Linked DNA regions of Rattus norvegicus. The protein of the gene in region 1 interacts with the protein of each later gene in a pairwise test. Links are inferred from orthologs where the notes say so. Each region holds a gene or a part of one and is shown on either strand. Other genes may lie near its edges.

Region 1 (3,810 bases):
TGGGGAGAAGCATGCAGTTGGTGAGAAACAGAACTGAGGCAAGATTTAGAACTCTGTCCCCATCTCTTGGTACCTCGGTCACCCCACCGAGGGGCAATCAGGTTCTGGAATCCAACATCCCCATCTGGTCTTCGCTCCTCCCTGTCCTAGAAGCAGGCCTTTGTCTCTATCTGTTACCTACACCCGCGGTGAGCCAAAATGGGGACCCATGACCCTTGACCCAAGCTCACAGCACTAACATAAGAGTAATCCCATCCCATGGAAACTCAATGACGTTAAACCAACTTCTGAATCTTGATTCTGGGAGCAGGCAAAGGAAAGGGAACGAACACAGGGCGCTATGCTTTGGTTCTCCCAGGCTCGAATCCTTTTAAAATTCCTATTATTTTACGGCAGGAGTCAAGTCTCTTGGATTCTGTAAACCGTAGTTTCTTTCATATAAAACAGGGAATACCATGGAGTTAATGAGGGTTAAACAAACATATGTGTAAGTGTGTAAGGCCAGCCAGTACGGGGCCCACAGCAGGTTCTTAATAAACAGTTGTTATTATTAGAGGCCTTCAAAGAGGCAGCGCATGATGAGACTGCCCCCTGCTGGTCCTCACTGCTACCTCCACCAAAAAGTCAAAGGATCCTTGGCTATCAACATCTCCTGAGAGAAGACCGGGTGCTGAGGTAGGAATGGGCAAGAGACAGGATAGGGATGTGAGACAATGGTGTATTGCCCAAGGACATGAAGGCAGTGGCTGCCACGAGGGAAACGAGCTCAGGTGTCATGCAGGCTGAGGTTGTGACTCCCTGATACCCCATTACTGGTCTCTTGGAGAAAGGTTGGTATACGTGGGGGCCTCAGGGTAGACTCTGAGGGCACACGGTCTCCAGGTCAGTTCCCAGCCTATAATCTACAGTTACCTCTCATTACCACCAGGAAAGGGCGTGCCACTCTGAACGGCCACCTTCTCAGTGTCCCGATAGTGGGGCTCACTAAAGAACCTGCAGCAATCCTGGGGACACCGACTTTCAATAGAACATCTGGATAGCTCCCTGCACCTAATTTTTTACAACTCCAAAGGGCAGGAACTCGTGTTCCTGCTCTGCATAGAACCCGCCAAAAGGTCTTTATGTGGGACCACAGTGAAGAGACAGGGGATCAGGGAGGCGAAGTGATTTGTTCAAAGCCACTCAGTGAGTGAGGAGGCTGCTGGGATGTCGTCAGGACTCCAGGACAGACAACACACGTCGGCTTTCAGGTGTCTGGGAAAGGAGGCTAGGTGGCCAAGCCTGGGTGCAGTTCCTTGCGTGTTGCCTGCTGTGGAGTCCTGCCTTTTGTTCAGAGCCCTGGAGTCCCACAGAAGGCAGGGATTACTCTGTACGTCTTACAGCAGGGAGAGGGAAGGCAGGCAGAACCATTTTCTCCATAAGTAAACAGCCAGTTACATGCTTACATCAGTAAAGGACACAGTTAAACATAAGGAAGGTATGAAGAATCCTTAAGTATCCAGGAAGGGACAGGAGCCGTGTGGCTGAAGTCCCAGGACTAGGACCTGTTGGAGGGTTCAAGCCCCTGCAGGGCCCCCTGCGTCTCAGGGCAAATCCCTCTTGACTTCTAGAATCTTCTCTGTGCTGTCCCCCAGCACGAGAAACTTGATGGCTTGGTCAGTGGATGAAGGTGATTTTCTCCTAGCTCCTCCTGAGTGGAGTTCCCTGTATTGCTACCACAGGAACTTCCCAGGGACCCTAGTCGGAGTGATTCCCCCATGGCCCCTGGATAGGGTTGCAGGATCAACTTCCCTCTACTCCTTGCTCTACACAGAACCCTGCAAAAGAGTCTTTGTATGGAGCTCATAGTAACATGACAATCTGAGGGACAAAGAAAAGATGGGCCCCACAGCCCCGGAAAGGGGAGCGCTATTTCATAAGCCTGAGAAGCAGGTGGGAAGTTGGATGCCTGGGTTTCCTGAGCGTGCCCTGATGCCCTCCTTCATGAGGCTCTGCAGGGAAGCGCTTGTCCTCAGAGGAGTGCTTGTGCTGGAAAAAAGGGGGGCCCAGCCGTCCCTAAAGGGGGAACTCATTATGTTCTCTCCTCTGGCCGTGTTTCTGGGCTGGAAAATGTGCCACGGAGGGAAAGAACAATGAGAGGGCTGAAATTTCAGATGCCACCCGGAGCCCTGAGACACGGATTGCGAACAAAGCCTTGACTGTCAGCTTGCTGTCCCCACCCCCTCCTCCTTGGTCTCGCACCATTAGCCCTAGAGCCCCCTGAAGCCCCTGGCTCGTCCCCCGGTGGGGATGTTGATAGCAAAATCTCTGGAACTTTCTCTACCTGGATAGACAAAAACAGCCTTTAGTCCTGGAGGCCTGCCTACCTCTGCTTAGACAGGGACGTGGGGAGGAACTGCAGGGGAGAAGCCTGGGGTGCTGACTTGGCTCCAGGAGACCCAAGTTCAAAGCCTGGCTCTGCTGCTCATTGGCCCCTGCCCTTCTGTGAACACTCTAGAGTGGGGCTGACTCGTGTGATGTGTACTGACTCGTTGGAGGTGGTCATCAGGTCCCCGCTCTGTATGGATCTGTCAGTCTCACAGCCCTGGTGTATCAAGAAGCTGTGGTGACTGTCTCATTTACACCCCTGCTTTTCCAACAGCCTGATACGGCTTTACAGAGGGGGGAAAGTGAGGTCCAAGGCCAGGAGTAGAATGGGATGGTCCAGAGGCAGTGTCTGTCTTCATAGACATCAGTGCATTAGACTAAAAGGTGGCCGTACCAAGCTGCGGGTGCCCGCCTTAACCCTGCTCCTCCTTCAGGAAGTAGGAGGTTTGGGGAGGGGCTCAGTAGCAGTATCAAGAAGCAGCAGTCAGGCTCTTGACTTGACTCAAGAAAGCAGGCAAGGGCCGGATAGAGATTAGTGGTGGAATGTTTATGTGTGAGGGTAGACACAGATACATAGACACACGGACACACTCAGTTTAGTGGTGGAGTGCTTGCCTGGTATGCATGAACACACACAAACACACACACACAACATACACACACACACAGAGAGAGAGAGAGAGAGAGAGAGAGAGCATTTTCTGTATTCTGAAGGATTCCAAACACTCCCTTCCTTCCTCAAAGGCTTAAGAAAATGTGTGTCCACATTGTAACACAGAGTGGATCAGGAGGAGACAGGGCATTTGAGGCCCTGGCCCCATTCTACTGGCTCTGTTGACTTACCTGCAGCCCAACGCTGTCTGCCTGGCCACCTTTGATGAGATGGGAGATGAAGAGCCCACAGCCAAATTCCAGGCCTCCACGCACGCTGAGGCCAAGGCCCTCTGGGTGCAGACGGTCCAAACGCACCTCCTTCAGTTTCCTGTTACAGTCATGGGGGGGTTGGTTATGGTCCAGCTCAGGCTAACCCTGTGTTCCCAGGCTGGCCCCTCCCAGGCCTGGCCTCTGACTTGGGGACTGGATGCACCTGGAGCGTCGGGGTGTCAGCTGGTCATACTCCACCTGGTGCTTCAGTGGGATCAGGGGCCGGATGGCGTCGAAGAGTGGCAGGCGGTTGGGCTCATTGATGACCAGCTTCAGGTCTCCCACGAGCACAGCCACGTCCATGGTCCTTTAGAGATGTCAGAGGTTGGGTGAGTGGCTATGACCTTTGTCCCACCCCTGCACTGCTGGGCCTTAGCAGAGTTTATAAACAGGCACTGAAAATCTAAAGCAAGTTGGGTGACCAGAGACCAACAGATGTAGTGGCATGGGGACAGCTACTTCTTGTTCTCTCTGAATATTCATATCCTCTTGAACCTATCTGGGTAGCTGCCCTATCAG
Region 2 (4,297 bases), on another chromosome or scaffold:
CTGGATTTGGGAACCCCGGAATGTGGGGACTAGGAGTGCTGGACCAAGCACTGGGGAAAATTAGGAACACCATAAGCAGCACCTTCCTCACCCGGTCCGGAAATATTGTACAAAGAGAAGCAGTGGCCCTAGGCCAGATCCCTTACAAAGTCCCACTCCCCAAAGCTGACAGTCTCCTGGCCAGGGGCACGCACCTGGCTGCACTGGGAGCCCACACCAAGTTGGGGGTCAAGGGGCAGCAAGCGACTCCTCTCTCCCACGCCGGGCTGGACCGGTGCTTTATACCGGAGAGGGCAGAGTGATTTACAGCCACATGAGCTCGGCTCCATAAACCTCTCAGTCCCACTCACATGATCCATCTTTCCTCCGAGCTGAATTTAGGGAAGCCAGATAAGGTGAGATTTATATTTACCTGTTAAGATCCCCTCACCTTGTCACGCTGGTGCGGCCAGGGTTCGGGCACGACCCCATATTGCAGTACCCAGAGGGTCCTCCGCCCCCAGCACCCACCATAACCTGGTGCTCAGAGATCACACCCACCCAAAGCCTGTACAGCTGACCCCCACCCCCGTACCCGCATGCACCTAGACACTGTCGCAGCTTAGGAACCACCTATATTTTGGATTTTGAATTGCTGTCCCGAGATCGGACACCTTTCCCCACCTGCCCTTAGAGGGATCCAAATTCGGTCTTCCTGTATCCCTACTACCGCTGCCCAGAGATGCTGGTTGGACGCAGCAAAGTCTGGTTCCCACGAGGTGCCCTCAGCCGGTCTGCAGTCGTCCTGCGCCCCCTGCTGGAGAACTGTTGTGTGACCCCACGCTTGTAGGCTAACTGCAGGGACTGTAGCGCCCTGCTCGCGGATGGTCTTGCGCTGGGTCCTCCTGGTTGCTCCTTAGGCCCACTGTCCTCCACATCAGAACTGCCTCTCCATCCCACCCTCACACACCATTCTCCAACCCCTGATCTGTCTTTTTTGACTAGTGAAGAAATCAGGGAATCCAGCACCTGGAATTCTGCCCAGGATATACTAGATGTCCCTATACTGGACTTCAAGGGCTGCAACGCCAGAATGGACGTTTTTGGGGCAAGAGAGCTGGATTTTCCTCGAGTCACGTCTGTGTGCTGAAAAACATGGCGTTTAGGACCCAGGGGAAGCTCCTGGGCGGCTCTCTGGGCAGTGAGAGATTCCCCCTCCCTCCCCGGGTGTGCAGCTCAGATGTCCCAGTAGTCTGTAGTCGTCTGTAGCCCTGGCTCTGGCGCTCCGCATCCACCATCTGCGGCAGCAGGGGCTGGCGGCCCAGGCCCCTGCCCAGCCCCTTCCCTCAACCCCATGTCTCAGCCCTAAGCCGGCTGCCCTCCCCGTCCGGGGACATTTCTCCGTGCCCCTTGCCCGCCCCGTCCAACTCGGGCGCCATGAATGACCAATATCACCGGGCCGCCAGGGATGGCTATCTGGAGCTCCTCAAGGAGGCCACCCGGAAGGAGCTGAATGCCCCCGACGAGGATGGCATGACCCCAACCCTCTGGGCTGCCTACCATGGCAACCTGGAGTCGCTGCGCCTCATTGTGAGCCGCGGGTGAGTATATCCTCTGCCTAGCCAGCAGGAGACCAGGAAGAACTTCCTTGAACCCCCGTGTCCTAAACGGCATGGCATTACTTACCCCCTTGTCTGAGCTGCCCTCTGCCCCTACAGACAGACCGTAAGGTGGGGCCGTGCAGCCTGCCACACTTTGAGAGACACACGTGGAGGGGACATAAGCTGAGCTTGTGACAGTTATGGACTGGATGCAGGGATTAGAGGAGAGGAACTTCAATTCGGGGATGGGATCTATGATTATGGAATGGGGCTGCAGAGTTATTCAAAAGTCAAAGACATTTTTGGGGGGTGCCTGGAAGCAAGAGTGAAAAGTAGGTGGGAACCTGAGAGAAGGCTGGGAAGTCTCCAGGGGCCTAGAACTTGGGAGTTCAGGAAGGAGAGACCTTCACTGCCTACTTCCCAACCTAGGAGCCAAAAGACTGTCCCTACAGCATCAATAGTCCCCACTGGCTGGGGTTCACACTGACCTGTGCCTTCCCACCACTCTTCTGGGATTTATGGGCACTGTCCACACTACCAAATGTCACTGGTCCAGACAGTGATTAACTCTCTGTACCCCTCCCCCTCTGCAGAACCCAGGATCTGGAAACTGTAGTGTGCAGAAGGGACATCTGCACTCCCCCTCCCTCTGGCATTGTCCTGGAAGGGAGGGTGGGCACCGAGTCGAGGGGTTTGGAGGATGAGTCAAGCAATGTGGATCTAGGATCACTAAAGTGGCTTGGGGTGGGAGAAGGGGATTAAATCACATTACTGGAGACATCCTACCAGTCAACAGTTTAGTAGGACTGGCCTCGACTCTGGTGTGACCTAGACAGGAAAAGGATGCCCCAAGAGGGTTCATATGAATGCCTCAGGCTCTAACTAGGGGTCATAGTAAGGGGCAGGGATTGTGCTGACCCTGGTATTGGAGTAGCTAAAATATGTGGGGACATGTTCCCCCTCTTTCTCTGTGTCTTCTCCTTTGGTTTAGCAGCATGAGGGAATAATGTGGAATCAGGCAACTGAGACAGAGCCCAAGACTCCAGGAGGGCACACAGTACTATATCCCCGGCCCCAACCAACGTAGAGGCTCATGGGAGTCTCGTGCAGGGAGGTGGGGTCTGGAAGGAAAAAGCTGTCTCAAGCCCTGAGGTTCTATTGAGGCAAGGATTTGTGCTTGATGAGGGAGGGTCTGTTACCCTTCCCTACAGGACCCTATACGGGTAATCAGAGGGGGAAGCTGTGGGGAGGGGAGGTGCTGAGATAAGGGAATGATTCTTCCCCCAGACCTGAGGCTGGCTTTGTGGCCTCATTAGTGTGGGGTAGGGCCCGGTGCTAGACCCGGGTGGGGGTGGGGGGACGGCGCAGAGAGAGAGACAGAAACAGAGAGACAGAGACAGACAGAGAGACAGAGATAAACAGAGACAAAGAGGTAAGATTCCTACAGAAGCCAGCAGAGCTGGGTGGGCTGTAGGCTGAAGTCAGATGTGGAGGGCATCAGAGAGGGCTGCCGGAGGGGGCAAAGCTACCCAGCTTCGTGGGGCAGCCTAAATGAGGGAGAACAGCACGACCAGGTCGCTGCCCTCTTCCTCTCTAGTTCTGGCTGTCCCCACAGTCCCCTTCTGGCCCAGGCCAAGACCCGACACCTGCTCTAACACTGGCGTTGCCAGGCCTGGCCCCGCTCCCTGCAGACATGGCGGTGCCCACTGTATACCAGCATGCACCGTCTCACGCTCTCCCAGGCTTAAGCCCAGCACTAACACAACCCACCCTCTAGTCCTCTTACGCAGTCACCCTGTAACGTGGCTTCATAAACTACCGCGCCTGCCTAAAGACCCAGACTCGGCCCTGGCCCACCACCTCTCTGGGCCAGCTCCCCGCAGGGCCCATGAATAATTCACTCCTTTCTCTCAGTGCATCAAATATTTATCCCCTGAGATTCCCAGCCCTCAGTTCTCTAGGGGAAGGCCCGCCCCACCCCGCCTCCTAGGTCGCCCCGCCCCTTTGTGGGTTGGGTCCCAGCCACCCCTGGTAGCTGTGCGTAGTTATGATGCATCTGTTGGCTCAAGCCCACTGCTCTCCTGGAAGTCTAAATCTCAATTCCATGGGTTTATTTTAGGGCAATGGTTTTCGACCTTCCTAATGCTGCGACCCTTTAATAGTTTCCGCATGTTGTGGTGACCCCAACCATAAAATTATTTTGTTGCTACTTCATAACTGTAATTTTGCTACTGTTATGAATCGTATGAGATACAGGATGTCTAATATATGATGATCCAGTGAGGATCGCGATCCACAGGTTGAGAACTTCTGTTTTAGTGGCTGTTACGTTGCAGGTCCAGGGGGCTCACAATGTCTGTGGGCTTTCCCTCTTTTTTCTTTTCCTCACCCCTCAAGATTCCTTATATCTCCAATCAGACCCCAGAAATGACTTGCTAAAAGGACTCATCGTACCTCTCTACATGCTGTCCCTACAGAGGTGACCCGGATAAGTGTGACATCTGGGGAAACACACCCTTGCATTTGGCAGCTTCCAATGGCCACCTGCACTGCCTGTCCTTCCTCGTGTCGTTCGGAGCCAATATCTGGTGCCTGGACAATGACTACCACACGCCGCTGGACATGGCCGCTATGAAGGGCCACATGGAGTGTGTGCGCTATCTGGATTCCATCGCAGCCAAGCAGAGCAGCCTCAACCCCAAGTTAGTGGGCAAGCT

What was found.
Region 2: the proteins of Ush1c (region 1) and Ush1g interact in binary tests that used the Homo sapiens proteins (3 or more experiments, as listed by UniProt). The link is inferred for Rattus norvegicus from reciprocal best matches to the Homo sapiens genes USH1C and USH1G.

The regions. Positions count from the first base shown.
Region 1 is NC_086019.1:105,862,952-105,866,761, forward strand, and holds part of Ush1c (harmonin), read right to left. Parts: intron 3,599-3,810; coding exon 3,455-3,598; intron 3,350-3,454; coding exon 3,211-3,349; intron 1-3,210. UniProt on the Homo sapiens protein: Anchoring/scaffolding protein that is a part of the functional network formed by USH1C, USH1G, CDH23 and MYO7A that mediates mechanotransduction in cochlear hair cells. Required for normal development and maintenance of cochlear hair cell bundles.
Region 2 is NC_086028.1:101,059,681-101,063,977, reverse strand, and holds the start of Ush1g (pre-mRNA splicing regulator USH1G), read left to right. Parts: upstream 1-1,413; 5' UTR 1,414-1,416; coding exon 1,417-1,580; intron 1,581-4,057; coding exon 4,058-4,297. UniProt on the Homo sapiens protein: Plays a role in pre-mRNA splicing by regulating the release and transfer of U4/U6.U5 tri-small nuclear ribonucleoprotein (tri-snRNP) complexes from their assembly site in Cajal bodies to nuclear speckles, thereby contributing to the assembly of the pre-catalytic spliceosome on target pre-mRNAs.